2 linked regions of the Bombyx mori genome follow. The protein of the gene in region 1 purifies or fractionates together with the protein of each later gene. This does not show direct contact. Links are inferred from orthologs where the notes say so. Each region holds a gene or a part of one and is shown on either strand. Other genes may lie near its edges. The genes, in order: inositol polyphosphate 5-phosphatase E; retinal rod rhodopsin-sensitive cGMP 3',5'-cyclic phosphodiesterase subunit delta.

Evidence for each region.
Region 2: the proteins of inositol polyphosphate 5-phosphatase E (region 1) and retinal rod rhodopsin-sensitive cGMP 3',5'-cyclic phosphodiesterase subunit delta purify together in Homo sapiens (affinity purification with mass spectrometry; 3 studies listed by BioGRID and IntAct, with this or other methods). This does not show direct contact. The link is inferred for Bombyx mori from reciprocal best matches to the Homo sapiens genes INPP5E and PDE6D.

Annotation. Positions count from the first base shown.
Region 1 is NC_085123.1:6,741,443-6,745,721, forward strand, and holds the start of inositol polyphosphate 5-phosphatase E, read left to right. Parts: upstream 1-1,257; 5' UTR 1,258-1,414; coding exon 1,415-2,079; intron 2,080-2,223; coding exon 2,224-2,343; intron 2,344-3,933; coding exon 3,934-4,062; intron 4,063-4,279. Other genes in the region: uncharacterized protein LOC101746422, read left to right, coding at 261-390, 894-1,054. UniProt on the Homo sapiens protein: Phosphatidylinositol (PtdIns) phosphatase that specifically hydrolyzes the 5-phosphate of phosphatidylinositol-3,4,5-trisphosphate (PtdIns(3,4,5)P3), phosphatidylinositol 4,5-bisphosphate (PtdIns(4,5)P2) and phosphatidylinositol 3,5-bisphosphate (PtdIns(3,5)P2).
Region 2 is NC_085119.1:5,232,818-5,237,202, forward strand, and holds the start of retinal rod rhodopsin-sensitive cGMP 3',5'-cyclic phosphodiesterase subunit delta, read left to right. Parts: upstream 1-1,520; 5' UTR 1,521-1,594; coding exon 1,595-1,665; exon of another isoform or gene 1,666-2,015; intron 2,016-2,164; coding exon 2,165-2,196; intron 2,197-2,773; coding exon 2,774-2,925; intron 2,926-4,174; coding exon 4,175-4,311; intron 4,312-4,385. Other genes in the region: ubiquitin-protein ligase E3A, read right to left, coding at 240-274. UniProt on the Homo sapiens protein: Promotes the release of prenylated target proteins from cellular membranes. Modulates the activity of prenylated or palmitoylated Ras family members by regulating their subcellular location.

The sequences.
Region 1 (4,279 bases):
TGAAAGAAAGAAAGTCGCTCCGGGTAAATTAATCACCTTAGGCCCCAAATGTCCTAGTTAAGTTCAATGTCATCCGAATTTCGAACGCGGGCTCTTGATCAAACGAGATTTAGTTGGTTCGACACCAATAAGACCCACCTTCTACACTAAATTAGTAGGCAGGACTCCGGTAACTTCCTCCTCGTTTGTGTATGTTTCCTGGGTTAGCAAAAAAGGCTCTGTATTTTTGAAGTTTTAAAAAGTTTCTCTTTTGTTATTAGGACCCAATAGGCGTGATCGCAAGCTTTACACGGGGCTGCGAAAGTTTCCCGGATTTTTTAAATCACGAAGTTACAGATCCAACATTCCGAACTTTTTATAGAGCATGCACAAATGATTTGTGCAACATTGGTAACTTATTACAATTTGCTTATTTTTTATTTATAATATTACAAAATAAAAATAAAAATAAACATTTAGGAATGGTATAATTGAAGCATGCTGTAAGATTGTTTTTATTAGTGTAAGTATATGAAACGACCCACTTAATTTTAAATGGTTATTGAAACCTATAGACACGACAGCGTGAATACCATTACTTATTTAAAAGGGAGTGATCCGAAGGCTCAATTGTGTTGGAAGCGGTGTTGGTGGTGGCGGTTATGTTAGCCTACAAAGTTCAGAAACAGCAAAGCGACGGTAATAGATATCGAGCTCAAAGGGCAGTACCTATAGTGTAACAAGAAGATAGCAACTATGAATAATGGACTACATAGGTACAAGAGAAACAAATAATGAACTATATAACAATCTATCTATTCTACACGTACTGCTATTACTTCACGTCCTACACATCTAGTCCTCAGAATATTATGTCATCAAATTAGAACTAAAATGAACTACACATGTTTTAGGTGATGGAATTCAGTCTATAGTCGGCGGTAATTTGTCTCCGTATCCTGCATACACCGGCATTAATCTATTAGTACCTGGGACAGGAAGCGGAGTAAATATCAAAATGAATAGAGTGTTGTTCTTTTCTGTGATAATGATCCTAATCGGGTTACATGTTTAAATAAATAATGTTCATTTTATTTTCTTCAAATCAGAATATTTTTTTGTAATATCTCAATAAAATACAGAAATTACATTAGCTCTTGTCATTAAGTACTTCCACAATATTACGTCCTAGAGTATCTGTACCTCGTACTCAAGCTAACGTTGGTTGACTATATCCCCACAGATTATTCAGAGACATGACGTTACCTAGGAAAAACGCTTTTGTCAGTGTCCAAGAGTCCAAATTGTCATTAAGTGAAAAATAGCTATAGCTACCAAAATGTCTGTTAAAAAACTTGATACCTAGGTTAAGAATTTTAGATAAAATATGTAATCAATAACATAAAGTAACATAAAAACTCTTACTAAATTAACAATGACTACGTCTCCTACCAGAACAAAACAGAAATTGTCTTTGCGGAAACGGTTATTCGTAAAAAAGTCTCCTCGAGTCGGTTGCTATGTTGATACAGAATCAAACGATGAATTTTCTCAGTCCACGTCTCGGCCCATATCGCCCGCGGATCCTTTTTTAGCTCAAAGTGCGCAGCATATCGAAACCAGTGTAGAAGCGATAGATAATCAACGAAATGCTAGTGCTGAACCACTTTCCCAGAATAGTAGTCACGGTGTCAGTCACAACCAAAGAGAAGAGGAGATCAACCCTAAATGCTGCCGTACCTTCTTTAGAAGATCTCGACCCAAGAGCTTAGTAGATGGAGGTCATTCCAAAGATGAACAGTGTCCAGATACATCCAGAGGTTGCAGTCCAGTATCGAATTCTATTAATAGTTTAAGTGACCAAACTATTTCTCAAACGAAATCAGACGAAATACCCAAAGCAACTATCAAATTTCCTAAAAGTGATGATTCAAAAAAGAGCTTTGAACATTCTGGTTCATTTGAGGGCATCAAAACAAAAAATAAACTCTTTGTCAAACGTTTATCAGCTGATCATCTGATTTCTACTGAAAGCAAACCACTATTTCGTTCTTCATCTCCCGAGAGTGATAGGAGTAGTTCTCTAGATCGTAAAAGAAGGTAATTATTAGGTTATTATATTGTAGTATTTTTTATTAAACAATTTATAATCATTAAAAAAAAAATGATCTATTAAAGATTAACAAAGATTGGTTTTTCTTAGTGTATGAATAAAAATTATAATATACCCACTTCATTTTATAGAAGTAAATCAACAATAACCCGGTCTGCTTCTCGTGCGGGTAGCACTGATAGCTTAGCACGTAACTCTTTGCTTGCTGCACAGGTGCTACGCCTCATACCCACACAAGAAGCTCGTGAAAGGTAGGATATAAACATCCATATACAATCATATGCTTAATACAAACTACTTACGGTATTATTATTATATAGTATATTATATATTATTATCTATAGTATTTTATAAATTATTACCAAAACTACTGAAATAAATGGTATATTAAAAAATAATTACTCAAGTCTCACTGTAGATAAAAGTAGAGTATTAAAAAAGTAAGATAACTAGTCGAGAATGCTTAGCCATGTTATTTCGCAGAATACAACAATAAGGAGAGAAAGCTATTACCCATAGACACAATCAACTGAATTTCTCGCTGCATTTTTTCAGTTGGTCGCAATTCTGTTCTGGTGGTAGATTCTGCGAAGCACTACTCTTGCTAGGGCTAGTATAAGCAAATTATTTCAGGTTGAGCACATGAGCTCACCTACCCATCTGCGAGCAGCTGAAATTGCTCCTTAGGTTACCAGCGAATATGTAGGAAAAAAACCACTATTCGGGATGAAGTAGTATAATAGAAAACCAAACTCAGCCAAATTTGTTGTCACACTTGCCTTATAGCATCAGCTAATTATGTTTCTAGCTAGATTCCCTCAGTGAGTTCTTATTCTGATCTGGTGGTGGAGGTTCACAGCTGCCACTGGTGATATTTTTGTTAGGCTACCTTACCACCACCAGAGTACCTTTGACACTTGATCCATCTGTCCTGAAGATGGAAAGGAAATCTAATACAAAACAAGTAGCCAAGCTCACTTACCAATACTCTTTATACAATAAATTATCAAACATATTAGAATTATGTAAAATAATCTTAAATTTACTTTATAAAGAAAGTTTAAATAAAGGTATTAAAAAATAAGCATTAGCTCCTTTCATAAGCAACCAATTAATAAATAATTGTTATAGATGAATTGTAATGGTGATTGTTAATTGGGGTATAATAGTGGTAGTCTTGTGATTCTGCATGGCTAGATACCACTACCCAGCCTATTTTTACCGTGAAGCATTCATGGGTTTTGGTTTGAAGGATGGTGCAACTATTGTAATTGTAAGAACTCATGTCTTAAAGTGGATGACAGCATCAACATCGCAGATGTCTATGAGCTCTGGTAACCACTTAACACCAGGTGGGCTATGAACTCGTTCACCCAATAATAATAAAAAAGTCAATTAGAAATACTATATATTTCTATTATATTATACATTGACACTATATACATAATATTATCAGATGAAATTTATAGGCATCTGATATTTTTATATTATGCTATTTTTCAGAGAATGTTTTATAACATATAATCATTAAAAAATATATTTAAGTAATGAGTCATAAATAAATCAAACTAATTATTTACTTTGCCTTTACCTTATCAGCCAAGTACAATATGGGGACTGAGTCACTGTTACCTTGAAGTTAATTACAATAACGTACTACGAAAATGAGATCCTAAATTAAAACTTGTAGTACATTCTACAGAACATGTTTTAAAAGTTTTATATAATACACTGTTTTTTTTTTATCGTGTGTTTAGTGTCGTATTCTATTTTAATGCAGAAAAATCTATTGGTACTTCAATTACAAAAATGGAAAGATCAAATGAAAATGTTTATTTCAGAAATTACCTTTATGGTAGACTTGCCTCACATTCACTCCTCGGCGCAGCTGAACTAGAACATGTTTTTCCTGATAGAGAAGTCAAGATATTTGTTGGCTCATGGAACATGAATGGGCAAGCACCGCCAAGGTAACATCTGATTGTATTAAAATACTAATATAATCGGTACCCAGTCATGCAACTTATAAATAGTAAATCTTTAAATTATTACAACGAAATCAGATGTTAGCAACATCTCCCAGGCTGAGCCTATATGCTCGGTGAAACTAGTAAAATCCCTTGTTAAAGGTTAAAGGTTGGCAGTCTGAAATAAAATGAAATAAAATTTAAATCGAATGAACACTAC
Region 2 (4,385 bases), on another chromosome or scaffold:
CAATAGTAATGCATATATTTATTACAAAACGTAACAAATATATTTTCAAACAACACTTTATTTTTGCTTAAAGGAAGGTACTAAAATAGCAAGTAATGCTTCATAACCCCTATCAACATTTTGTTTCTGCACGAAACAAATACAATAAAATTTAGATATATTTTGGTAATCTTAAAGGTCAACGTGATGTGAATTTTTAAATATTAATAATATAGTGAAATAATAAAACAGATACATACCTCGAAGCTTCGACAGACTCGCTTTTCGGGTTCATAGAAAATTCTTAATAATCCTGTAGTGATTTCAAACGGCCAGTTACATAAATACGGTGATAACGTAAACATTAGCAGGGTACAAATTTTAGAAATATTTTTTGTGTTCACCTCTTGGACTAAACAAACAACATTTACATAGTACAACATATAATTTTACCTATTGGCTATTATTGTGTTTTATGTAGGTACCTATGTACAAAATTACAAATTGAGATTTTTGTGAAATTTTCTTTTTTTTGTTACGGCCATTGGCTACTGTATCTTTTGGCAAAGAAAGTGCACAATCGTTGATTCGATTTTGTGGTTTAGTCGATTTGATATTGATGTGCACAAGATCGTTTTGAAGCTGTCATATAAAAAGCCTGTTTGACTGAATCGACATTTGTGAATTACTGTAAAATAAATTTAAAATTTGAAATTTATAGTCTGAGACTCTGGAAAATGCTCTGTAGTAGTTCACAGATTAAAATATTAGTTACTGAGCATTTCTCAAAAAAATTGACCATAGCAGCCGCAATGTTGATGTCCCATACTTTGGTCTTTGATGATGTTTTTATTACGATAATATAAATAACATACATGACAGTCGTAACTTCATTGATATTACTTAATTATCAGAGAAAATATCAAAACAATAAATAAACCACACTAATTACAATAAATAATTAATAATCTAAAAACCAAAATATTCGTACTATGGAAAATAAGTTGTCCCATTAAGACCGCAGTGATTTTGAACTCATTTATTTCATTACATTCTATTTGTATTCTATTTACATTCTATTCATATGATGTTATGTCATATGTCATATGATGACGTTAATTGGTGGATCCCATGGAGTTAATAATAATACTAATCTCTATAGAGGATCCCGAGAAGCTATGTCCAGTGGCTTTGTTTCGTTTTCCCACATTTGTGAACTTTCACAGATATCAAACAGTTAATAAACCACCGTTATTACACATTTAAACCTGAAGAAACACTAAATAGATAAAATAAAACAAATCACACAACTTCACTCCTCGCGTTCCCGCCAAAAACAACCTAAAGGTCTATGTTACCAGGTCATAAAAAAAGACCATAGACTTAATTTATGGAGCTTGCAAAAAAAACCCCAGAAAAAGTGGTTTTCATTTTTCAATGTGAATGTGAACAATATTGTGTTCGTAATTGAATTTAGAGTCATAGAATAAACACTTAATTGTTTAGAGTATTTTGTTAGACAGAAAAATAAACACAGTTCAGTTCGCTGTTAAGAAAATCAGCAATCAAAAACATAATCATATAAAATTGGAATTGAACTTTTATTTTCGCAAATATGACTGACGTTCTAACAACTGAACGAGATAAAAATGATCGTGTGGAGACTATTCTGAAGGGATTTCAAATGTATCCTTTACATATGTTCTTTTTCTTATATTGCCCTTAATGCCATTGTGAGTTGAGATCCTTTAAAATCGAATAGTTGACGAGTAAGTCGTGGCGTTACGTCTAGCAGGGCACCTTTTTTTGCTTTTTGGATGATTACCCGACTGTCGAGAGACTTTAAACCAAGTCCTGCCTATTCTTTTAAAAAGTATTTTTGCATTATTAGGCCCATCGTCTGCAAACATAATGCTGTTCCATAGTAATTCAGTACCTAAGCATTTGTACCGTGCATCACTTTTGGAATGAATTTCTTCCCACGATTATGCTGTTGTTTCCCACAATAGTCCCACAATTAAAGTTTGAAAATGTACCTGAAAATGTAAAAATAATACATCCTCAATTGATGTATTTAACATGTGATCCCTAATTGATTATAAACAGCGTTAAAAATAAATAGATTCATCATTTCAATGTGTTTTACTTAACAATTGTCAATAATTTTTTAACATTGCAACGTCAGTAATTGGATGAATCTTCGTGATGCTGACACAGGTAAAGATCTAGTCATTGAAAAAAAAACGTTTGAAATATATTAAAATTAAGATCAGTAGTAGAATTTGTTTTGCCTGTAAATTAGATATGCAATTTCCAAAGATAAACAAGTCAGTTACTGATTGTGTATATCATTGTTTGTTTTTTTAAATATACTCAACAGAATATAATTAAAAGTTATATGATGCTATAGTTGATGTGAATGAAAAATTAAAATAAATAAATAAATGACTAATCTTGGGTCCAAGGTGGTTAATTGTTTTTACATTGGGATGTCTATGAGACCACTCCAGGAGCAAGATTTATTAAATGTTTTCTAGTATTTAAAAATCCTACAAGTAGCTTCACCAGACTGCTGATGATTGTTGTATAAAATATACATACTCAACACATAATAATAATACTCAAAACTGTAATAACATATCGCGGGCGAGCAAAGCGTGGCAATTTTTTTTTCTCATTTTATGAAGTTTCTTAAATAAAAATCAAACTACTTTTAGATACTTAAGTAACAGCAATGTTATAATTTTTCCCCTATTGCACATTTATATTTATTTTATTAATAATTCTTTTTCAGGAAAAATTCTTTGGCAACATAATGAGGACATGTCAAGTCCAGATGCGGAACACGAAGCAAGAGTACCCAAAAGAATTCTCAAGTGCAGAGTAGTGTCTCGTGAAATGAACTTCAGCTCAATAGAATCCATGGATAGATTTAGATTAGAACAGGTACATCTATACATATAAATAAAATTAGAGTGTCTGTTTGTAGTATTGAAATAACAGCTTTTTACTACATTCATATGAATATATATACGGTACATATACCAAAATAAAATTTTTTATAATTTTTTTTTGTCTGTCTGTTTGTTCCGGCTAATCTCTGGAACGGCTGGACCAATTTTGATGAGACTTTCACTAATAGGTAGCTGATGATATAAGGAGTAACTTAGACAACTTTTTTTACACTAGCTTCGCCCCGCGGCGTCTCCCGCAGTTATTGTCGTACCGCGCGCTACATGGCTGGCTTGGCCTATCAGTCAATAATAAAATTTAATGTTTCCGAAGAGAAGCGAGGGCGGGTCGCTAGTGTTAAGATAGTAAGCAATTAAAGTAGAATTAGTTTCCAACTACAAGCATCATTTAACATTATTTATGTAGCCGATGAGTCAGAAATACTAAAAACAGTATGTTGTAGGTTAGATAGACTAGACAGTGTTGATTAGTGTTCAGTAGATGCTTAAAGGAGGGGACGTCATAAATAGACTTGGAGGGAATGTGTGAACCCCTTTCACACATTCCCTCCAAGTCCATATGAGTGAAAAGGGTGTGTATGGGTAAATATGATGTATGATAGACCTGAATGGAAAAAAGGTCATCATTGTATAAAGGCAAGAATAAGAATAAGAAAAAGTGTCATGATAGTTTTGATTTAGGTGGAATTATATTTATCAAACTGATATTCGAATCTGAGTATTGAGTATACATCTTCCTGTCTTATATGTATGTTTCTGGTATCCAGAACATGGGAGAAATTTCTGGCTTAGACTGTATAGTGTGAAATGTTTGCTTGTTAAAATAACATCACCATCAGCATCTATCAGTATAATTGGCCACAGATGTGACAACTTAGAACTGTCTGAATCCAAGCTTTGCTCCATATTTATATCATATTATTTCAAAAATAATTCATTCATCTAGTTTATTTTAATTGACTTGAATTAATATGTTCACAGAATTATAGAATTTAAACTATCCAATCCTGCATTTAACTGGTAGTACACTTACAATTAAATATAACATTACCAATCTAATTAGATATAAAATATAATTTTTACATAGATAAACATTTTATTATTTGGTAATTCGGTACTAACTTCATTAATAACACATGGATTTTGAGCTACTCACACCTACAGCAATAGAAAATATATAACTGATTTGAACACTAAAAAAAACTAAATGTTTCTTTTTATAGAAAGTACTCTTCAAAGGGAGATGTTTAGAAGAGTGGTTTTTCGATTTTGGTTATGTGATCCCGAACTCAACGAACACTTGGCAATCCGTTATAGAGTCAGCGCCTGAATCGCAAATGATGCCGGCCAATGTGCTCAAGTAAGTTTGATAGTATATAAAATTTCAATATAAATTAGTATAGATGGGCAGATGAGGCTACAGCTCACATTTAG